Linked DNA regions of Rattus norvegicus. The protein of the gene in region 1 interacts with the protein of each later gene in a pairwise test. Links are inferred from orthologs where the notes say so. Each region holds a gene or a part of one and is shown in the gene's direction. Other genes may lie near its edges.

Evidence for each region.
Region 2: the proteins of Mpped2 (region 1) and Cage1 interact in binary tests that used the Homo sapiens proteins (3 or more experiments, as listed by UniProt). The two-hybrid records come from large-scale screens. The link is inferred for Rattus norvegicus from reciprocal best matches to the Homo sapiens genes MPPED2 and CAGE1.
Region 3: the proteins of Mpped2 (region 1) and Rxrg interact in binary tests that used the Homo sapiens proteins (3 or more experiments, as listed by UniProt). The two-hybrid records come from large-scale screens. The link is inferred for Rattus norvegicus from reciprocal best matches to the Homo sapiens genes MPPED2 and RXRG.

The regions. Positions count from the first base shown.
Region 1 is NC_086021.1:113,634,473-113,638,415, forward strand, and holds the start of Mpped2 (metallophosphoesterase MPPED2), read left to right. Parts: upstream 1-1,141; 5' UTR 1,142-1,526; intron 1,527-1,625; exon of another isoform or gene 1,626-1,707; intron 1,708-1,873; exon of another isoform or gene 1,874-2,929; intron 2,930-3,323; exon of another isoform or gene 3,324-3,404; intron 3,405-3,943. UniProt on the Homo sapiens protein: Displays low metallophosphoesterase activity (in vitro). May play a role in the development of the nervous system.
Region 2 is NC_086035.1:26,994,409-26,998,505, forward strand, and holds the start of Cage1 (cancer-associated gene 1 protein homolog), read left to right. Parts: upstream 1-1,297; 5' UTR 1,298-1,433; intron 1,434-4,097. Other genes in the region: Riok1 (serine/threonine-protein kinase RIO1), read right to left, coding at 723-793.
Region 3 is NC_086031.1:82,314,487-82,318,595, forward strand, and holds the end of Rxrg (retinoic acid receptor RXR-gamma), read left to right. Parts: intron 1-3,114; coding exon 3,115-3,262; 3' UTR 3,263-3,606; downstream 3,607-4,109. UniProt on the Homo sapiens protein: Receptor for retinoic acid. Retinoic acid receptors bind as heterodimers to their target response elements in response to their ligands, all-trans or 9-cis retinoic acid, and regulate gene expression in various biological processes.

The DNA.
Region 1 (3,943 bases):
TTTAGGGGATATAATTTCAGCCAGGACGTCTAGTCAGTTGTCACATAGTATACAAAGCACACGTTTCTCTCCTGTGCATACTGCTGTTCCCTTCGGAGAATGGTGATTTTTTTTTTTTTTTTTTTTTTTAGAGTCTGACTCCTAGAAAGGAATTAGATCTGGTCGCCTTCCAAATCCTTCAGCTCTGACAGTGGCATAACATCACAGGGCCACCTCATCTTTCAGACAGCCGTGCCAACCAAGTTTTCTAAAAAGCCTTCTGTCTTCTGTCCCACCATTTCAGCGGCTTTTTCTATCCTTGCCCCGCCCCCCTTTGCATACAATTCCTAGGGTTCCAGCCCCCTCCCCGCCAGGTTTCCAAAGTAGCAGAGAAAATTGGAGTAACTTCGATTTAAAAACATTTTTTTAAAGAGCAGGTCTTTGGGAAAGGGAGAATGTGATTCAAAGGGGCGCGCAGGAGGTGGGGGTGGGGGTGCGGAAACAATTAAAGCCTTTGCCTGACTTCACCTTCTTATCCTGAACCTGTCTTAATTCATGAAGGTGAAAAAACACCAGCTGGGTTGGCCTTTTCTTTCTCAGGAACAACATAGAGGCAAAGAGGGGTGTGTGTGCGTCTGGCGCTTTGAGAGGGTTGAGGAGAGGGGAGCTTGATACCCCGCAGGAAAGCCTCAGTTCAGCTGAGTTGAGGGACCCAGGGGTCGCCCCTCTTGGTGAGATCTTAGTGCCCCTGTCGCTCCTTCTGCCCCTGCAGCGAGTTCTGCGCTTTGGAGCTGTGCCAAGACCTCTGACAGAGCCTGGCAGGTTCATGAGTGGAGGGCGGGAGCTTGGTATTCTCTTTGCAGAAGACGCCCATCTGGGGGTCTCCCCTATATTCCTGGCGCTTAGTGGCCCGCCCCCATCTCCCCGACCTCTATCATTTTAACGCTGATCACACACGATGGTGAACTTGCAGCTCTGCTTCCTGCCGCCTGCTTGACCCAGGGAGCACCAGCAGCCTGCGGGCCTCGCCCTCCGCTCTCCCTCCCCTCCTGGAAACCCCGCGGCCACGGGGCGCGGGTGGGGGGTTCGAGTGGGCCGGAACTACGGCAGGGGCGTGCAGGGCGAGGGGTCCGGGCGGGGAGCTCGCAGCAAGCGGCGCCTGGGCGGCCCAGCTTCCTGGAGCTGTGCTCCTTTGACCCCAGTGGCAGTCCCTGTCACTGCACCGCTCGCGCTCCCTTCGCTCGCCGCGCCCTGGCTGTCTCTCCTCGCCCCCTCGCTCGTTCTCTCCCCAGATCGAGGCTGCTCCGGTCCTCTCCACCTCCCCCCGCAGCGACCCCGCGTCCCGCTCGCACCGCGCCCCAGTGCTGCCCTCCCAGGCCCTGGATCAGCGGCGGGGACCTCCGGGGTCGAAGGTTCTGGCCCGCCCGAGCCCCTCGCCCCTGCCACCCCCAGCGCTGCTCCGAGCCGGCTCGGGTGGCTTGGCGATGGCTCGCCCGCACACCGGGCGCTGAAGGCATCCCGGGGACCCGGAGCGCAGCCCGGGAAAGGTAATCCGCCCGGGAAAGGGAGGCGGAGGGCGGGGGAGGGGGGAGGAGGCGGCCGGTGCCGGGCGCGAGAGGAAGGAAAAAAAAATGCACACACAAAGCGGAGCCCGGGTGAGAGGTGCCTTGTCAGAGGCGCGTGCGAGGGCGCGGGAGCTGCGGAGCGCGGCGGCCCCGCGACCCTGAGGTTGGCGGACTGAACACTAGAGGACCCGGGGAGAGCAGATTTGTTTCCCCCGAAGCCCCCGCAAGCGAGAGCGAATTTCTTTGCGTAGCTGCCCTTCTTCCCACTCCCCATCTCGCCCCCTGTTCTCCCTTCCCCCCAAGCCCTCGGCCACCGACCTCTCGGGGTCCCCGCCTCCCTGCCCCCTCCTTCTCCGGGTTTCTCAGGAAGGTGGCGGCGGGGGTGCCGGGGGAGAGGTTGTCTGCGAAAGCCCGCGGCTAAAGCCCCGGGGCAAGGGATGGGGGTGGGGCCGGGGAGTCGGAGATCTGTTTACTAGAAAGTCCCAGGGTCGTGCGCGGCAGCTGCCCCGGCCTAGGCCCGGGTGCATTGTGTTGGCCCGAGCCCCGTGCGCCCGCGGCGGCCCCGGGCCAGGTGCAGTGGCCGGACGGCTCCGTGCAGCTTTGTGCTCCGGTCGCTCGCGCGCATAGCGCTCCAGCGCGGAGCTCTCCGCCGGCCCCCGCGCCCGGACCTTACTCTCCGGTCTCGGCGACCGCTGCCTGCCGAGCGAGAGGGCTGGGAGGCGGGGTACGGCAGCGTGGAAAAGTAACCGCGGCCGCCCAGTTTCTTTTCTACCTAAGCAGTAGTTGTGAGGGGCCCCCACCGCCACCCCTATTTACATTTACATGTGGCAAGATTGTCTTTAAAAATCTTTTAAATTTCGGGCTTTTGCGGCCTAGGAGGTGTACCTAGAGGTTCGAGAGGGCATTGAAATCCCCCAGCAAGAGCACGGAAAGATGAGCCCGGGGGTTGATTTATAGCGCACCCCCAACACACCCGGAATTAAGAGTGAATGCGGGTCATGAAAAATGTCTAATTGATTTGTGATGGTAAAGACACTAACAAGTCAGGGTGGGGAAAACAAACACAACTTTAACTGGAAGGGAAAGACTTCCAAAGAGGGGGCAAGGCTGTGGCCTCCACATTCCCTCTGCAGCCCGATGGCTGGCTGGATCCCTTCCCTTCCCAGCCGTTCCCGGGGAGGTGCCTGGCAGCTCCGGGACTCAGCGAGGAGGCGGTTGTTCAGGGTGCGGACTCGGTCTCCTGCCTGTATGCTTGGAGATGCCAGGGCGCTTCGGAGGCTTCTGTCCCAGACCAGGGGTTAAGATGCGGCACCGAGGATGGCAACGACGTCAGAGCCCGTGTTTTACGGCGGTCTTCAGTCGGTGCCCCGCTGGGAGAGAGGAAGGTGGGGGAAAATGCTTAGCCAACCCTGGGGGAGTGAGTCTAGTGTCCTTAGTGCTGCCAACATCGCCGGCAGTGGCGGTGGCGGTGCCCATCGGGTACTCAGCGCCTACGGAATGAGGAGGGAGTTGTGGCCAGAACCTGGCAAGGAGAGCGGTTGACAGAGCAGGGCGTGTGTGTGTGTGTGTGTGTGTGTGTGTGTGTGTGTGTGTGTGTGTGTGTGTGTGTGTGTGTGTGTGTGTGGTGTGTGTGTGTGTGTGTGTGTGTGTGTAGTAGCTGCAGCCCCCCACCCCATCTGCCCACCCTAGATTTAAAACAAACAAACCAATCCAAAGTAGAGAATTCTGCAGCCCCCCCCCCCCGCGCCCCACCATATATAGACCCCACGCTTTGTCAGAGGCTCAGGAGAAAAGTCGTGCCCTCCTTCTCTGAAAGAATGTGCCAGCTGGGTGTCAGCAGTGCTGGAGACAAGTTCAGGTGTAAGTGTGAAGGGAAGGGAGGGAGCTTAGTGGACAGAGGCACGTGGAACTTTTTTAGCATCTCCAGAAAAATAAAGTAGCGGTACAACCACGGGGAAAGAGTGTGGGCATCGCTCCCGCATGCGGGAATGAGTAACTGGAAATGGGCATAAAAGAGTAGGGGCCTGAGTTTACAAGGTTCTCGGTCCGCGAGGCAGAGGGAGGAGAGAATGAAATTTGGCGGGGTTGCACCGGGAGCGAGCTCTAAAGTCCCTCCATCCAGTAAGTGAGGTGGCTATCTTCCTGACTCAAATGAGCACCATTATTTAAACAAGGACAGCGAAATCCAGGACTCATTTCTTCTGGGCTTGGCTTAGGCAGCGTTCGAGTACAGAGGTCAAAAATTGTCGCTTTGAAAGTTTAGGTAAATCAGACTTCTGGTGTCTAGGAGGTGCAGACAGTTATTTAAGCCTTCAGTTTTTAATCCCCTCCTTGCCAGCAGACTTTTAAGAGGTTTCCAAGTGGGTTCCTGGAAAAGAAAATTTCCAGTCCTGCAGCTT
Region 2 (4,097 bases), on another chromosome or scaffold:
TTTCAAAATGACTATGTGTGATTTTCTTTTTAGCGGGAAGTTTTCTGTCACTGCTTTCTTGAGACCCCACATCCAATTTCACCACAAAACCTCAACCCTGCTAGCACCTCGAAGTCGTTCTATGATCGTAGTTCTAGGAGCCATCATGTTTGAACCTGGTTATTTATTTATTTATTTTTTTACTGGTCTCTGCTCCACTCCTTCTCTCCAAGAACATCTTCTACGTGAATCACCAGTACCTTTAATTCATAAATCAAATGATGCCTGGTCGCTGCTAAAAGCCTATAAGACCTGAACAGTATCTTAACTCCTCACAGCCACTTTTAAGTCTCTACCTGGCTGGTCTCCCTTTTTGCCTCAATTCTCTCGGCTACGCTGTAGGCGCTGGCCTCTTGGTCTGCCCTCCTTTCCAAATAGACAGTAGAGACTTGATTTGTCTTGTTCATCATCACTATCGCCCGCGGAGGTAAAACTTTGCTGACTGTAAGTGGAACCCTGTATGTAAGGAAAAAAAAAAAAAAAGAGCCTGACGTTTCTCAGTTGTCCCCAACTCTTGAGTCTCTGATAAACATTCTGGGAACTACTGGAAGGTAGCGTTCACGAACTGCCCAGTTATGAGGACAGACCCCGAGAAAAACCCAAACCTGTCAGGTGTCAGCTCCCCGGACCGAATGCGGAGCTGGCGGAATCTGAGGAGGAAGGTGTCATCTCCGGCCGCCTACCTGTCTGAGGAATCCGCGTCGTCAAATTGCCCGGGGACCACCGTGGCCATCCTATCCAGACTGCAGTCCATGACTAGTGGGGTAAGCCCTCGGAGCCCCGCAGGCCGCGAGTGGAAGAGACGACTTTCCACCTAGAGAACCCAACCGCGTCTCCGAGATCCCGGCCTCTCAAATCCCTAGGCAACCCCCAGGCCCAAAGCAAGGACCAGGGGCCACGAGGTGCCAGGATGCCGGGTTTCAGCAAAGGCGGCCACCGACAGGCCGGAAGTTTGCAACCAGAAGTACCTCTCCATGCCCTAGTGCCCTCAGGGAACATGCGCGTTACGGTGGCCGGGAAAGACCAATCCGCGAAGTGAAGTGGGCGTGGTGCATTGTTTATGGAGTGGGATGTGTAGCACGCGTTGCTATGGTTCTTGCTCCACCACGGCGTTTCCCGTCGTAGAAAGCCAGCCTGTTATTCCCTGACTGCTCCGAAAGACTTGCGTCCTCTGACCTCCTTCATCTGGACTCCTGTGCACTCCAGAGGACGTCACACTGGGACGTTCGAGCGCTCTGCGACGCACCAGTTGGTGCCCTCGGTGGGGACGGTTGGAAGGTGTTCTCCCTCCCGCAGAGTCGGTGGGCTGGGAGGAAACCCGGAATCCTTAGCCTGAGTCACAGAAGCTCTATGGATCATGGAAGTGAGCACACTTTTGCTCTCTAGAAACGTTGGTGCGTTGTTTTAAGATGCAAATGAGACAAGTGGTTGTTTTTTTAAAGTTGGGAAATTCAAATTTCTGCGTCTGGCAGGAACTCTCGTCATACCTCTTTCTGCCTGTTTTTTAAATGTTAAAGTGTCAAGTATTATCTAGAGCGCGCGTGTGTATGCATGCGTATGAGTGAAGTTCAGAGAATAACTTGAGAGTTTACTCCTCCCACCTTGGGCTCCGGAAACCGACTCTGGTCTTCCACGCGTTTCCCTGTTAAGCCATCTCACAAGCCCTTATTATCTTAAACCGGCTTTAACTCATGCCTGGTGGTGGTGGTGGTGGTGGTGGTGCACACCTTTTTTCCTAGCACTTGGGAGGCAGAGACAGGCGAATCTTTGTGAGTTCAAGACCAGCCCGGATTAGAAAGCTTGTTCCAGGAGAGCCAGAGCTACACAGAGAAACCCTTTCTTGTAAAACAAACAAAAGTCTAAAAATCGCCAGGCACACCAAAGTGAAAGATGAAAACGAAAAAGGAAGTCTCTCTCTCTCTCTCTCTCTCTCTCTCTCACACACACACACACACACACACACACACACACAGACTACTCACAACTACTATAACTCCAATTCCAGAGGTTCCTGCACACACATACATTTTTTAAAGTGTAATTGCAAGTCACAGGCCCATGGAAAAGAAAAACATTTCGCATTTGGAAAGTGATTTAAGGCTTTCCACATGCCTGTCATCCCACAGGTAGCCTTTATTTGTAGGATGGGAAAGATGAGCCTAAGGTTGAATCCTCCAGGAGCCCCGCCTAGCTTCCTTGGCCTACTTGGTTTTTTTACACTTTACCAAGTGATGACATCGATTTGAAAACTTCAGTAAATTAAGTAATCTAACAAAGTCATCCGGGCAGACAGGTACTAAGAGTAGACTGAGACAATTTGATAATGTCACTAGAATGCCAGGTATTTTCAACCAGCGTTTAACTGTGTAGCCCCTTCTTAACTGAGGATCATGGCCCCATGATGGGGTAGGGTGGGGGAGTCATAAATTCTCCACACCCAAAACTTGATTCATAATTTAAATTGTGGGATGAATCTGACAAATGCCTGATAATGTTCACCCATGATAACCTCACACAACTTCCACTGTTCTCACCACTATACCAACCCACAGTAACAAACGGCCCGAAATATCTCTGTTCAGATTGGACACTTATATGTTCCTGTTAGGGTCCAAGAATAACTGAAGGGAGACCCCAGACTCAAAACAGTATGCAAAGGCAAACAGTGTTTACTGCAGAAATGACCAGCATTCAGGGGCCAACTATCAGAACAGCGACCACCTGAGGGGTTCGTGGACCCCTTTTATGAAGGACTAAGAGAATTTTCCAAAAGGATTAGGTTACCTCTAATGTGATTGGTAGAGGGCAAAGCAGTGACATCAGTCCAATTTTGTTTGGTTGTTAGTTTCATTGTAATTGGTGAGACCTTGAAGAATTTTAGAAACCAGCTCTGTTCTGGCCTTGTTATCTCCTCCAGCTAGGTGGCCCAGACGGATCTCCCTAAGTCAGGGCTCATCGACTAAAGGCCTGTTGTCAGTGGCTCCTAAGGAACCCAGCCTGCTGTCCAGGGAATGAAAATTTTATTCCCAAGGTTTTGGGACTTCTCATTATGAACTGCAGTGTTTTTACTGTACACTGCAGTTTTCTGGTCTTATAGAAATAATCATTTTATTACAGAAGGCAGACTTAATATTTTCCTGATTGAACTTCTTGGCATATAAATATCAAAGTAGTATATCTTTGCATGGTATTATGTCAGATAAACACATCTAATTAACATGTAAATTTGCTTTCCTATTTAACAAGTGGTAAAATTATATGCATATTAAAAGAATTGTTTTAAAATAAATCTCTATATAATTTATTATCAGTAAGTGTTTTATTTGTATTTCTACTTTATACACATGTAAACTTTACGTAGTGAGTGGGAAAAGTTTTAAAAGCCTTGAACTAATGTATCCCACTTGATGTAAAGAGAGGACTATTAATAGGAAAATCAGGCTAGAAAGATGGATAAAAGTACACACTGTTCCTACAAAGGACTGGAACTTGGTTCCCATGCCCAGGTCAGGTGGCCCCCCCTCTTCCTGTGCCTGGGGACCTGACCCCACTCGCTTCCAAGGACACCTTGAATCACAAGCACAGACATGCAAATACATACACAAAACTAAATTAATTAGAAAGCGAGGCCCAAGAAATGAGAGAACCAACATAGGACAGCACTGGCCTGTGTGCAGTTTGAAGTATTGAAAGACTATATAGACTCCTTGCCGGACGATGATAATGTGCACATGGGAACACCCTTGCAGTCAGTCGTGGTTAAGACTAAACAGTAAACAGTGTGAGTTATGACAACAATGCAAATATAACATCGCAGAGAATGTAGAGCTAGGCAGAGGTTGCCCTGGGTTTTGTCAGCTTCACGCAAACTCTTTGAGTCACCCAGGAAAAGAAAAGCTCGACTGGGGGGTGGCCTCCACCTGTGGCCATTTCTGTGGGGCATTTTCTTTATTACAGATTGTTGTTGAAGGGTCCAGCCCACTGTGGTCTGGGCCATTCCTGGGTTGGTGAGCTTGGGTGGGTTTTGTTTGTTTGTTTTTATAAAAGGTAAATGAGCA
Region 3 (4,109 bases), on another chromosome or scaffold:
TTGCTTGCCTGTATGTCTGAGGGTGTCAGATCTTAGAGTAGCAGACAGGGGCTGGGGATTTAGCTCAGTGGTAGAGCGCTTACCTAGGAAGCGCAAGGCCCTGGGTTCGGTCCCCAGCTCCGAAAAAAAGAACCAAAAAAAAAAAAAAAAAAAAAGGAGAGTAGCAGACAGTTGTAACTTGCCATGTGTTGCCCATGTCCTCTGGAAAAGCATTCAGTGCTTAACTTCTGAGCCTTCTCTCCAGTCCCTCTAAATATCACTTTAAAAACTTTAGAACTGATGCTTTTCCTGGAAGAGACTGCCAAGAACACGGCTACCTCTAAACCAGTGGTTCTCAACCTTCCTAATGCTGAGACCCTTTAATACAGTTTCAAATGTTGTGGTGACCCCAACCATAAAGCTATTTTGTTGCTACTTTATAACTGTAATTTTGCTACTGTTATGAATCATAATGTAAATATCTGATATGTGACGACCCCCCCCCCCCCCGCAAAGGATCTCAACTCACAGGGTCTCAACCAGCTGAGGCTCTAGATGCTGGGGAGAAAAGCCAGCTTTCTTCTTCCAATTTAGGGAGGTGGTGTCTTCTGTCTCCAGCATACCTTGGACAAGGGGTGATCTTTCTGTCTGAGCTCACAGGAGGTTGGGCCCGTGCCTGAGAGGAATCACTTGGCTTAGTTAGACAGGTAACTAACTCGGTGTAGGTCTGTCTTGCACGCTGGCACTGCCCAGTCACGGCATTTTTTTCCACAGTGGAGTGCTGCCACTTTGTGGATAGGACTTAGCAGTACACCCTGTAGGGCCCAAGTTTGAGAAAGTTAGAAGCAGAAATCAAAGCCAGGTACAGAACCCACACACATCTTGCACACACAGTAAGTCCCTATCAAGGGACTATCTTGATCCTGATATACCAGCCAGGAATGCAGGGACAGAGTCTTCTGATGCACTGGTTCATTCCTTTAGCCCTGGCCTTGTTCTCAAACCCAGTGCCAACAGTATATGTGTGTAGAGACTGTGTAATATTGACAGCTTTACAGGGTGCTAGAATTAATCTCAGTCTAACTTTGCATTTTAAAGGGAAGGCTCTTTGTCTGGTGTCAATTTATTTTATATATATACATATATATGTACACACACACACACACACACACACACATATATATATATATAATTTTTGTCTTATTTGGGTGTATGCTGGCATAGGTGCATTTGTCTGTCCAGGTGTGCATACATGTGCATTTAGAGGCTAGAAGTTAATCTCAGATGTCATTTCATAAGTGCTGGCTATGTGTGTATGTACATGTGTGTATGTACATGTGTGTGTGTGAGATAGAGATAGATAGATAGATAGATAGATAGATAGATAGATAGATAGATAGATAGACAGACAGATAGATGGATAGATAGAGGTGTTTCACTGGTCTGGAACTCATAGACTATGTAGGGTCAGCTGCCTAGTTAGCCCGAGAGACACTCTACTGTCTTTTCCTCGGGTCTTTACACTTATGTGGTGAACAGTTTCCTGACAGAGGTATTTCCTCAGCCCTAATGCAGTATTTTTAAACATCATGTGACATGAATATAGAGGTATGCACATTTCCAAGGAACAATGACATTCCAATTCAAAACTTTCTTAAAATGAAAAACTGAAGTTGCATATGCAAATCAAAGCATGTTTCAAATCAAGGGACATAATGGGCTATACAAATGACACCCAACTCTTCCCATGCTACTTCTCCCTTCTCTGGACTCATACTGAACACCCCCATTATAGCAAGTATGGACAAATGTTAGAGTGTGTCTACATGTGAGAGTAAGGATATTTGCACGCGCGTGCGCGCGCACGCGCGCACACACACACACACACACACACACGTGAGACTGTGTATGTACGGCAGCCTGGGTGTGAATGTGCATATGCAAAAATGTGTGTATGCACACACACACGTTTGTGAGTGTGTATGTGTAAGTGAGGGGTAGGTGTGCCAGCCCATGTTGGGGGTGTCTTTCTTGTTGCTGTGGTAAAATGCTCTGACAAAAGCAACTTAGAGGAGAAGGATTTATCTTGGCTTACGGTTCCTGAGGGACCCTGTCTATCATGGCAGAGAAACCTGGTGCAGGAGCAGGAGGCAGGTGGTGACATCCTACTACACGCAGGAAGCAGATTGCAAATGAAAGAGGGGCCAGGCTCTAAAGAGTCCTGCCCTTAGTGACTCATTTCACTTAGTGAGGCCCCAGCTCCCAAAATTTCCGCAACCTTCCCAAACAGCGCCACCAGCTGGAGACCAGCGTAAATATACATGAGCCTACCGGATATATTCCATGCTCAAACCGCAATAGGGAGGAGGTGAGAATGAAGGAGAGACTGTGCGCATGTGTGAGACTAATGGGAGCAGCCCGTGTGTGTGAGGACGTGTGATCAGTGCGTATGAGTGTAAGTGTATTTTCTCCCGAAACAGACAGGCTTCTCAGAAGTCAACTACTAGTCTTTCCCCCTTCCTCATCCCAACGTAATAGGAAGCTCAGAGGCGGATGCTGGTCGTAGAACTTCATGGTGACTGGTTAATTGAAACGGAAAACTTGTCTTTGAAAGCAGACCGAGGTCATACAGTCTAAAGAGACAAGCTAGACTGAGAGGAAAATCAGTGTCTATGGTCACGCCTGGTACAGGCAGGTCCCCACTTTTATTCATCTAGTGCTGATAGCCGTCCTGAGAACAGCGCACCTCATGTGTCACTCCCCGTCCTAAGGCCCCCACTACTAATCTTGGCAGACCCCGAGGAGTGCAGGGAAATGGCCGGCAAGGCAGGCAATGTCAGTGTACAGTTCCATGATTGATGGGGGTGCTGAGGGCTATTCTGGAACATGTCATAAACTCCAAGACTGCCAACATGCTGTGGGATCCCGGTTCTTCTTTTAACACGAACCAGCCCTCTAGCTGGTTTCTGACGTTCCTAGAAGCTCCCAGGGTTGCACTCCTTAAACTCCTCTTATCTCTGCTTCCCCGCGTTTCTGTTGAAGCTTGATGGAGACCCATGAGACACTCTCCACCACTGACAGCTCGTGTCTCTTCTTACCATCCCCTGGTAACAATGCCCCTTGGCTTCCCTACAGGTTTGCCAAGCTTCTGCTGCGCCTCCCAGCTCTGCGCTCCATTGGATTGAAATGCCTGGAACACCTCTTCTTCTTCAAGCTCATTGGGGATACCCCCATTGACACCTTCCTCATGGAGATGTTGGAGACCCCTCTGCAGATCACCTGAAACTCCTCGGCTGTAGCTTCCTCACCCAGAGTGACCCCTGGGCTGGTGTGTGTGTCGCCCTACCCTGCACACTGTCCCCCGTCTCCCACTCTGACTTCCCTTCCTGTCCCCAAAATGTGATGCTTGTAATAACTACAACCTTTCTACACATGAGACTTTTCTAGGTGGAGTTTTGTATGGTTGTTAAAGGTGACCCTTCTTTGCTACTTAAGGGGCTGAGATCTTTCTGGCAGTTCTTGGGAAGAGTAGCCAAGCCTCTGTACATATAATTGGTTTAAATTATTTTTTCACTTGCCATGGAAAGCAAACAAATGGAAAAGAAAATAATAAATACGATACTGGCACTGCTTGGAGGGTGTGTTGTGTTGTTGTGAAGCTGGGAAGTTCTCTGGGATGTGGAGGATGGGGGCTCGGGTCAGAGGCTGACCCCCTTCTTCCTGTGCTGGCTGGGCAGGAGCAGGAACATAAGGAGGGGGACAGAGATCCGCCTCGCAGGGAGCAGAAAGGGGGAGCAAGCCAGGGGGCTGAGGCTGACCTTCCTTTAGAGGAAGAAGGGTGGGGAATGGCGAGGCCCATCGCACTTGGTCTGGGTGGCCCCCAGCTTCATAAACTGAACCTTCACCCTGTCAATGATGGGGAGATGGAAAGTCCCCTCCTCAGGCCATCCTACTTCATAGGTGGGCCATTCATTCCTATAAAAGATGGCTAGTTTGCAGGGACAAACAACCAGATCTGAGTCTTCTGTGACTCCGTGAAAGTCCTTAAAATGGTTCAGGACCACGCCCAGTGGGGTGCTTTGTGCCTGTCCAGTCTTAGGAATTAAAGAAAAATTTGTAGAGGACAAAAG